Linked DNA regions of Caenorhabditis elegans. The protein of the gene in region 1 interacts with the protein of each later gene in a biochemical or structural test. Each region holds a gene or a part of one and is shown on either strand. Other genes may lie near its edges. The genes, in order: unc-10 and unc-13.

Region 1 (4,817 bases):
AATCTTCAAATCGTGAAAACTCTTTTCATATAACACATTTAGAAATCCAGCCGATGGAATAGGAAAATAGTATATATATATATATATATGGATATGGATATATAAGTGTTGCGAATGTTTAATATTCTCTTTTTTTGAAAAGTTTGTTCGATTGTTGAACAAAAATGTTTTGCTTTTGCTGTGAGTTTTAATAATTAGTTACTTCATAGTCCTAGTAGGAATTCTGAACGTATCTGAAAGGGCATTGAAGGGGCGTGAACTTTTTGGAAAGGTGATCCCTCGTCCTGTTCCCTGTTTGTCTGTCCCCTGTCCTCACCTCCTTCGTCTTCTTTTTCTGTCGTTTTATACTTCTCTTTGCTATGCATTCATGAACAGATAATCCAATTTGAGGCTGAGGCCTGCGTGTGTATGTGTGTGTATGTGTGGAGGCCCTCCAACGAAGAAAGAACAAAACTTGGCAATCTTGAGCATATTGGATAAGCTGCCCGCTGAGTTGCTAATTGTCAACGTTTGGCACAAACGCCACATAGAGCCATCTCGGGATGGAAAGGGAGAGAAGACTGGTTGGGGGAGAAAAGAAGGGTAGAGCCTTTGGAGCATTTTTGTGTTTTGCGGGCGTTGCTCCATCCCTTCGTCGTTTTCTCCACCCTGCGTTTGCGCATCAGTCGCCACACGCCGCTAGCCCCCGAGTCCTAAACCCCTCCCTCCCATCTACACACATCCATTTATTTATTAGAAGAGCTCTGAGTAAAACATGAACTATTCGCTATCCGTGGCCTTGTTTTATTCATTGCTTATATCGCATTCGCCCGGGTTTTCCTCCTGGGCGCGCCTTGTCTTTTTTCTTTTCCTCCCGTTTCACCTCCGTTTTTCCTTTCGCCCTCTTTCTCTTTCCTTACGGATACGGGAGGCTCCCCCCACCCCTATCTTCAAACCTTGTCTTTTTTCCGTGCTCAGGGAAACGAGCATGAATTCATTGTCTCAAATGAATGTCTCCTTTTGTGCATCATTAATCTTGCATCGAATTTTGCTTTTTATTCTTACATGCTTTTGTCCACTTTGCACAAGCTGTCCATTTTTTGTCAATTCAAACATCAGCTTGAACCTTTACCTGTCCATGGTTGGCCTTTTTTTATGGCGAAACCTGGCGAACCCAATATCCATCACCCTTCTATTCCTTTTCTTTTCCCGTTTTCCTTCGCTTCCCACTTCCCCACCTCCTACGCTTATTTCTTATTCCTTTCCCGTTTTAGTGCTCTCTTTCTCTTTTTTGCAAAAAGTTCTTGATAGCAGTAAAGAAAAGAAGAGGAAGACTATTTTTGGATGTCCCGAGTTTCCCACGGTATTCATCGACGTCGTCGTCGAAAATGACCACATCCAGTCTTACTGGGCGCTCATGTCTTGGAAAAGGCGTCATTTTTCAACGTTTCTAATCCCGGACGCTCTTATTTTTCCTCTCTCGGTTTCCCCATCTTTGACGCTGTTCTTTTTTTGTTTCAGCGTTGATCCTGTTTTCTTGTTGGCCTTTATTGACATACAACTCTTAAACCGAACAAATTCGTTTCTATTCTTTCTATTCGGATTGTTATCGCGCTTTAGTCTTTTTATACGCTATGATTTCACATGATGCAATAACTCCTTATTACCTTAAAAATCAAACTTCAGTGCCTCATTAAATATAATCATGGACGATCCGTCGATGATGCCGGATTTATCCCATTTATCTGCAGAAGAACGTGAAATAATAGAAAATGTGAGTTGTTCCAGCACGAACCCCCTCCCCCCCCCCCCCCCCCCCCATCGTTCATTTTGCCCATCCGTCTGCTTCTTGTGGGGTTCAAAAAAGTAGTTGGTGCGGTGTGAGTCCTCTGTCTCGGAGCATGACGGGCCCCCCGAGGGGTGAAAGAGCGAGAAAAGGGGAGGGGTATTACTTACAACGCCGTGAGCACACGCAAAATAATGGATATGCAATCAAACGAGTGTGTGCTCTTATGTACATTCGACAAGAAAATTGGCATGATATCATGCGTGCACATACATATAGAGAATACTCACTCAGAACGCTCATGATTTATGTTTTTTGCAGGTCTTCAAACGACAAAAAGATGAGGAGGCAAAAGAAACACAAATATCACAGTAAGAGTTTTGTAGACACATAATTGCATTGGTATTTCTTCATGCGAATGATTTTCCAGAAAAGCATCTGAAGAATTGTCAGAGTTAGACAAACAGATCACGGAGCGGAAAGAAACATCGAAAAAGCTGGTTGGCACACAAGATGACGCGATCTGTCAAATCTGTCAGAAGACCAAATTTGCGGACGGAATTGGTACGTTGTTCCTTTTCCTGAAGAAGCGATGAGAGCAAAGGGTCCTTCTGTCGCCCTGAGATGAGCCTCGTTTTCTGTTCCTAGTAATTCTCTCCGCGGCGTCAGAGAGCCCCTAACCCTTGGCTGTCATCGTCTCTCTAAAAGGACATCAATTTAGCACAAGATGAGAGGTTTTTCAGGCCACAAGTGCTTTTATTGTCAATTGCGTAGCTGCGCCAGATGTGGAGGTAGAGCACAGAGCAAAAATAAGGTACGAGCGGGAGTGAAAGTGTGGGATGAAATAAGGGGAAACATGAAAGAGAAAGGACAAATTCTGGATGACTGCATTTGAATAACAGAATAAAAACCAATTTGAGCAAAATCGACTTGAACATTTTTGCGATATGATGTTGCAATGTTTATATTTTCACAAAAAAAATCTAAACTTTACAATTTATTATAAAATCATGTTTAATTTTATAGTTAATGAATCTAATTTGGAAATCAAGCGAAATAATCGTTTTTACATCTAAAAAAATACGACAGAAGCTGAAAAACAATAGCATCCATTGTTTGCAAAGTAGTTTGGAATAAAGAGATAAATAGAAAGTATTAGCCCCGTGGGTGCACCGACCGATAAAAAAGTAGAGAAGTGAATTGAAGAGAAGAAGTAAAAAGCTTTCAGGCAATCTGGGCTTGTTCGTTGTGCCAGAAACGTCAACAAATTCTTGCCAAAACAGGCAAATGGTTCCAACCCGAAGAGCAGCCGCAGCCGAAAATTAGCGGCTCCGAGCCAAGCCCTTCGCCCCAACCACTAACTGACGACAACGTACCAGAACCGCAGCAGAGGCGAGCAGAGCCGCCTGATAAAATGTGAGTTTCTTCCGGTTTCTTTTACTTTTCCAAGTTTGTGTTTGATTGTTACATGTTCCTTTGAAGCGTTAGTTTCAATCAATCACAATTCAGACTAATTTTCATATTTTCAGGAACACTCCAAATTATCAAAACAACCAACAACCCCGTGGAATGGGAATGCAGCCAAATCATAATCAAACTCAGCAGAATTTCATGAATCAGAACCAAAATTCAAATCAACATCCAAATCAAAACCACAATCAGAATCAAATGCAGAACCCGCATCAAAATCAAAATCATGTTCAAAATAATCATCAAGGAGCCAACAATCATCAACAGAATAATCGAAGAGCTATGCAACAACAGCCAATGAGTCAAAATCAGGCAAATCAGATAAATCAGATGAATCAAAACCAAAATCAACAACAGAGCCACAATCAGAATATGACTCAAAACCAGAGAAACCAGGTACTTGAAGTTGGAAAGTTCCACGATTATTTCAAATTCTACATGTAAATAATTCAGACTGGCCCCCAAAACCAACAAAGGACAAATGACTCTCGAACTATGAAACAAACGCCTCAACAGCAGCCCAGTCAGTATCAAAACAACGTAGGCGCGGCACATCAACACCATAATCAACATGGACAACAAGAGCAGCATCATCAACGTAAGAGCCTCCAGGGGTATAAAAAGAGAAAGTGAAAAACAAAACAAAAAAGTGTTGTGCGCTAAAATTGCGAACGAGACGCAAATTGATATAGTCTGGATAATTTCAGAAATGAATGAACAACGGACGGATAACAACAGAATGAGAGAGAATACTAACGGGCAAGGAGGAATGTTCAATAGGCAGCCGTCATTAGAGGTGAAGGGATCAGGGATATCAAAAACGAGCTTTTGAAAAAAGATTGAGCAGCTTATTATTAGGGTGATACTTCTGTAAAAGTAATGAACAAATGTGAAGAATCATCTAGAGCGGAAAATTTGGTCAGAATTACAGTACTGTCGTACAAAGTTCAGAGTAGAAAAATATATTAAAATGAAAAAAAAAACGAAATTGTTTCTAATTTAGCAAACTACGCCCATGAACAAATACAATCACGTTGAGGATGATGGCATGAACCAGCGGTAAGTATCCCATAAAGTTTAAAAACTTGATACCCACTTGCTTTCAGACCCACGTTCTACACTGGAAATTCCGAGAATGACCAAAGACAATTTGATGGCCAAATGCAACAGGGCTCACAACAAAATAATCAGAATCAGAACCAAAACAACCGAAATCTTAGAAAAAACACAGTCAGCCGGGTAACAGAGGAGGATTATGCAAGTTCGTCAAACTTCGAATCTAAGAAACGTAAGATGATATCATATCGATAATACCTTGCTAAATTCTATTTTGAGAATCAATTTCAGAGCGGAACAACTCTTCACAGAGTCAGTCCAACACGCAAGGCGTGCGAGCATGTCCTTCTACTGACGACCATTTGAACCGGGTGAAAAATCGATTGCATAGGTGAGCAAGTGTAATTTGGCTAATGGAAAAAATAGACAAACTCAATTGAGTAATGTCTTTTTTGTACTAAGTGCTCAAGCTTTGAGTTCATTGCTTTCCCTCTTCCAGTTACGTCTCCATTTTCTCATTATTTAG
Region 2 (4,865 bases), on another chromosome or scaffold:
CTGGAACACAACCCTTGAAAATGGGTTCTTCGTATGATTTTAAAACCTCATCGGAACACAGAATTTGATATGAATTCCCATAGCAAGTCTGTTTTGAAGCATTGAGTGGCATCTAGGTCTAGAAATTGGAATGGAGAGCACTAGAGCGTGAGAACCGTCCACATACACAAACACATATAAACGTCCTCCTATTGTCCATTTCTGAAACCCAATTGGTGAAAAAGTAAGAGAGAGAGAGGGACACCAAAAGAGAAATTGTGGTGAAGGGAAGAGTGGTGGTAGTGGGTGCAACTATCTCTGGGTTCTCCGAGAATTCAGTGCTCCGTGCTCCTCTAGCTTGGCTCCGCGACGTCTTCTGCTACTCCGTCCTCAATTTTTGCGAAGGGGGGAGTGGCGAATAGGGGGTAGAGAGCGGGAGCAGAAGAAGAAGAAAGCACAAGCTCATCCAGTCGCCGTCTCCACACTCTCCGTTATACTTATTCCGGTTCTCTGCGTCTATTAGTTTGAATCACTATCTCACTGGTTTCTTTAGTATATACTCCAAAAAATGCTACTTTTTCGCGCATTTTGCGTTCGTTTCTTTTTTTGGACTTTCTTAATCAACTTTTTTTGTGGTTTGATCAAGATTTTTTCGTTTAGGTTTGGAATTTTAGACAAAAATTATATTAAAGAGTTTACAGCTTTTTTGTCCATAAGAAGTTCATGTTGAAGTTTTGTTTTTTTATTGTAAAAATAATGTAGCACCAGTCAGGATTTTGTCAAAATCAAAAATAAAAGTGCTTAAATGAGACCCTAAAAAATTGTTTCAGATTTTTCAAATGTTCAGTCAAAATGATGTTATACTGCCAAAATTTAATTTTGCAAACTCTTTAATTTTTTTGACTGGTAACAAAAATTTCGTTTTTTTAATTTCGTTTTTTTTTTTTTTTTTTTGAAAAAATTTTCACTATGTTCCACTTTTGAATGTTAAAATCACTGAGTTACTAACACATTCTTGAAATTTTCTCATTTAAAGAATAAAAACAACTTTGACAAGAGAAAGAAGTAAAACAATATAGTTTTTCTAAACTTGTATTTACTTTTTAACCCAGTTTTTCGTATTTCATAGTAAAAAAAGTATAGAAAAAAGTGATGCATTTTTCATTATAATGCAGAAGGCACCTCGAGGCTATACGCATTTTCTTAGCAAAAAAAGGAGCTCATTTTTTCTGTATTTTATGACTTTTCATCATGTCATGCATATAATTTTTTATTCATTGTTATGTAGGAATTGAGAGTTTTGTTTTTAATTTAATTTTTATATAAAATTAAGGGGCTTTGAACACGTTCTATCTATAACTTTCTTTGAACAAAAACTACAAAACACAAATTTCAAAGATCTCTGGATCTGTCTGATTAGGCTGTTAGTTCTTTTGAACTTACTTACTTCTGCTTAATCCAATTATTTGTACCACTCATCACTGACCTTCAGTTTAACTTTTGTCTATAGGTTAAACTTGATCTCAAGCTTTAACTCTGCACCAGGAACTTGAACCTAAACCTGATCTCTAATTGATTCGCTAAAACCTTAAAATTCTGAAAATCCTGATCCAAAAACTCTCCAGGAGACCAAGTTGTTCTCGGCATTGGAACAACTGGTCGGCGGCGCGTACCCATCTGGGGAGGCCGCTTCCTCTTCAACCATCGCCCAAGAATATGCCACGTTTCAACAATCAGAAGGGATGGATGACGTTGGAGATTACAATGATGATCAACTTTCAGATGGCATGAGCATGAGGTTGCTCTGCATTACCAGTGAGTTGTTATTTGTGTTCTTCTTGCCGTCTCGAGAATACATATATACGAGACCATCGACACTCAGTTATGGACGAGATGTTAACATTGATTGTTTCAGTTAAAAAAGCACGACTTCAAGGAGCTGTCGGTGAGTATTTCTATTGATTTTATAACTTAAAATATATAGTTCAGTTTTCATTTAAAATAATTTATTTCGTTTGAAAAATACTGGAAATTCCCTGAAACTTGAAGTAGATAATGTAACAAATATTCTGAGAGTTCTGCCAATTTTTTGAAAAAAATCTGAAAATGTAACAGTGTGCCAGTACTGTTACAATTAGTCTCGATGACCATAGAACCAAAAGATGCTCCTGCTCCAAATACTTTTAAAAAATCATAGTCAGAGCTAACTGAAAATCAAGTGGCTCTTCCACTTTATGAATCATCACTTTATCTCAACAAAAAACTATTAACTTGCCAGATGTCTGAAATGTGGATCTGACTTTTTTTAAATGAAATGTCCACCTCCTTTGGGTGAAAGACTAAAAAATCTGAATAAATCCCTTTCTGCAAATCGAGAAACGATCATGCGTGGCGTTGCTCCGATTTGTAGTTGTCGCCTGAGAAATTCATCATTCGTGACACCTGTCATTCCAGTTTCACGGGGCGACCTCCCGAATAATAAATCTCATCGTGAAACGCGCGTTTTCATGCTTCGATGACACACGAAATAATGCACAACTTATACCTCAACATCACGTACAAGATGTGCTTAGTATTCTGAATGTATGTGTATGCACCCGCCTCTTCTATTTTCCCATCCCTTTTTTTTGGCAAATTTTAATCAAATTTTGGGACCTTTTTAGAGTAAGATAAGAGAAAAGAGTCGTTGAAGAGGCAGGAAAAGTTTAACTACATTCGTGAGCAAGTGAGTAAGTAAAAAGTAAGAAACCGGAAAAAAGTTGCCAGGAAATTAAACATAGAAGCACCGGGGGCACCTCTAAACAAGAGAGTAAGTCACTGGGGAAAACGTTTGAAATGGAATGACGAATGAATGAGGGCACCGGAGACGAAACAAGATACGGTGGACTGGAAGCTTAAAGACCAAGAAAAATGAAATGAAACTTAAACTTTGTTATTTATCATGTACGTTAAGCTCAAGAAAAAATTATGGAATTAAAATTTTAAAAAATTATTAAAAATTAAGCGAAACATATATTTCCAATGCTTTTGAAATAATTTTTGATATTTCATTTAATTTTGAGAATATAGAACAAATGTTTTCGTTTTTTTAAGTATTAGTAGTAAAGAATGTGTCTGAAGTTACACATATAGTTCGAAAAACCCCACATTCTAAACGTAAGTTGACAAAATCCCGCTAAAAGTACCCCATCTTTAAAGCATATAGTAAGAGCATATAGTAATAGTAAGAATACAACCAGCTTGTTCAAAAAATTTAACAAATCGTTCAATGTTTAGTAGCTTTTTACATTTACTATAAATCTCATGAGAAAGAACTTTAAAGATTCTTGATCTTTCACTCAAGTTTGAGCCAGAAATTGAGTTATAATTCACGTTGTTCTCTTTTTTTTTTTCTTTTCAACTAAAAAAAATATAGCTTCTTTTTTTATTGTTCCCCTGGGTACAAAAGTTTAACTGAGCGTCCCAGTAATTTTCATGAGAGCATATTTATAGTTAACGTGTTACATTCTAACTCTTGTTTTAGGACCCAATTGTTTTCAACTGTCCCATTTTTAGGATTAGCCAATAAGTTGTCCAGCAGTAAAAAAATTTTGAAGTTGCGATTTTATTTAGGATTGGAGAGATTTTGCAGATTTATAATCTTCTCTAGATTTTTTCAAATTTCTTTTTGGAAATGAAATCTCAACAACTTTTCACCTTCGTTTTACCAAAGTCTTATCAAGTTTTGATTTTTAAAATTTTGATTATCAAAACTTGGATTGAGTTGAAATTTTCTATAAATTTTAAAGAGGTTTTGTACAAGCATTAACGTTTCGCGCCCTCCCTATCATTAGAGCATGTTTTTTTTCAGTTTTTAAATTTTTGAAAAACAATTTAAATGCCTGATCTCAGATGAATTCAACTCGTACGTGACGGTGAAGCTGCAGACTGTAAAATCAACAACTGTGGCTGTGCGTGGCAACTTACCATGCTGGGAGCAGGAATTCATTTTGTAAGTTGTCATTGACAGGTGAAATACGGTAAAGGAGACCGATTTTTGTAAATGTTATAAAAAAAGAACAGCTGAAAATAGTAATATTTGATATTATGGAAGGAAAAATACCATTATGCGTAAATTGGTGTTATTTTGCCTCCTTTTTTTAGTTTTGGAACGTTTTACTTGTTTTTTTTTCATTACACTTACAATTATTTTATTAAAATAACAACAATTATATTTGAAAACCAATTAATCAAACATTAAGGTTTCAGCTAAACCACATCACCTCATATTTAATTAATTATTTCAGTGAAACAAATCGACCTGACGACGGAATGGTACTCGAATTATGGGCCAAAGGCGTTTTATGGGACAAATTAATAGGTGTTCATTATATGCCACTTTCGGAGATTAGATACAGGTAAAATTTTTTTTTAATTTCCAGTCGTCAGTTAAAATCACTCTAAAACCAATACTAAAATGGCAACATACTTTAATACAATTTTACGAAAAAATATGAACGTTTCTTATTTACAATGGAAAAGTGCAATTATTCAGTTTTCGCCACCTATAATTGTCGTAATTGAGCGGAAGTGGTTTCTAACTTTTAAAATTAATGTATCAGTTTTCTAAAAATACCCCATTGATTTTCAGCAATGCAGCAGGTTCGGGTCAATGGCTTCAAATGGATCATGAACTTGAAACAAGAAATGGTCAAACTGTAGGAACACGTGGTCCAACAGGTCATAACTTGTTGACTGATGTTCGATTTGAGCTTCCTTTTGGTGAGTGGTTGTTATTCAGAATTATAATTTCTTATAGTATGGATTTTTGTTGATATTCCCCTCCTCTGTGATTAAATCTTAATTATTTTATGCTATTATATATTCTTATATATTTCTAAATATAT

What was found.
Region 2: the proteins of unc-10 (region 1) and unc-13 form a complex in vitro, tested with the Caenorhabditis elegans proteins (one study listed by BioGRID).

The regions. Positions count from the first base shown.
Region 1 is NC_003284.9:7,277,169-7,281,985, reverse strand, and holds the start of unc-10 (Rab-3-interacting molecule unc-10), read left to right. Parts: upstream 1-1,663; 5' UTR 1,664-1,684; coding exon 1,685-1,753; intron 1,754-1,902; exon of another isoform or gene 1,903-2,041; intron 2,042-2,086; coding exon 2,087-2,136; intron 2,137-2,195; coding exon 2,196-2,329; intron 2,330-2,383; exon of another isoform or gene 2,384-2,468; intron 2,469-2,508; coding exon 2,509-2,579; intron 2,580-2,993; coding exon 2,994-3,181; intron 3,182-3,294; coding exon 3,295-3,631; intron 3,632-3,688; coding exon 3,689-3,833; intron 3,834-3,942; coding exon 3,943-4,031; intron 4,032-4,238; coding exon 4,239-4,294; intron 4,295-4,341; coding exon 4,342-4,523; intron 4,524-4,582; coding exon 4,583-4,682; intron 4,683-4,817. UniProt on the Caenorhabditis elegans protein: Regulates the efficiency of a post-docking step of the release pathway. Acts after vesicle docking likely via regulating priming. May regulate the conformational changes in syntaxin.
Region 2 is NC_003279.8:7,421,064-7,425,928, forward strand, and holds the start of unc-13 (Phorbol ester/diacylglycerol-binding protein unc-13), read left to right. Parts: upstream 1-1,721; coding exon 1,722-1,794; intron 1,795-1,894; coding exon 1,895-1,924; intron 1,925-3,870; coding exon 3,871-3,970; intron 3,971-4,265; coding exon 4,266-4,376; intron 4,377-4,609; coding exon 4,610-4,740; intron 4,741-4,865.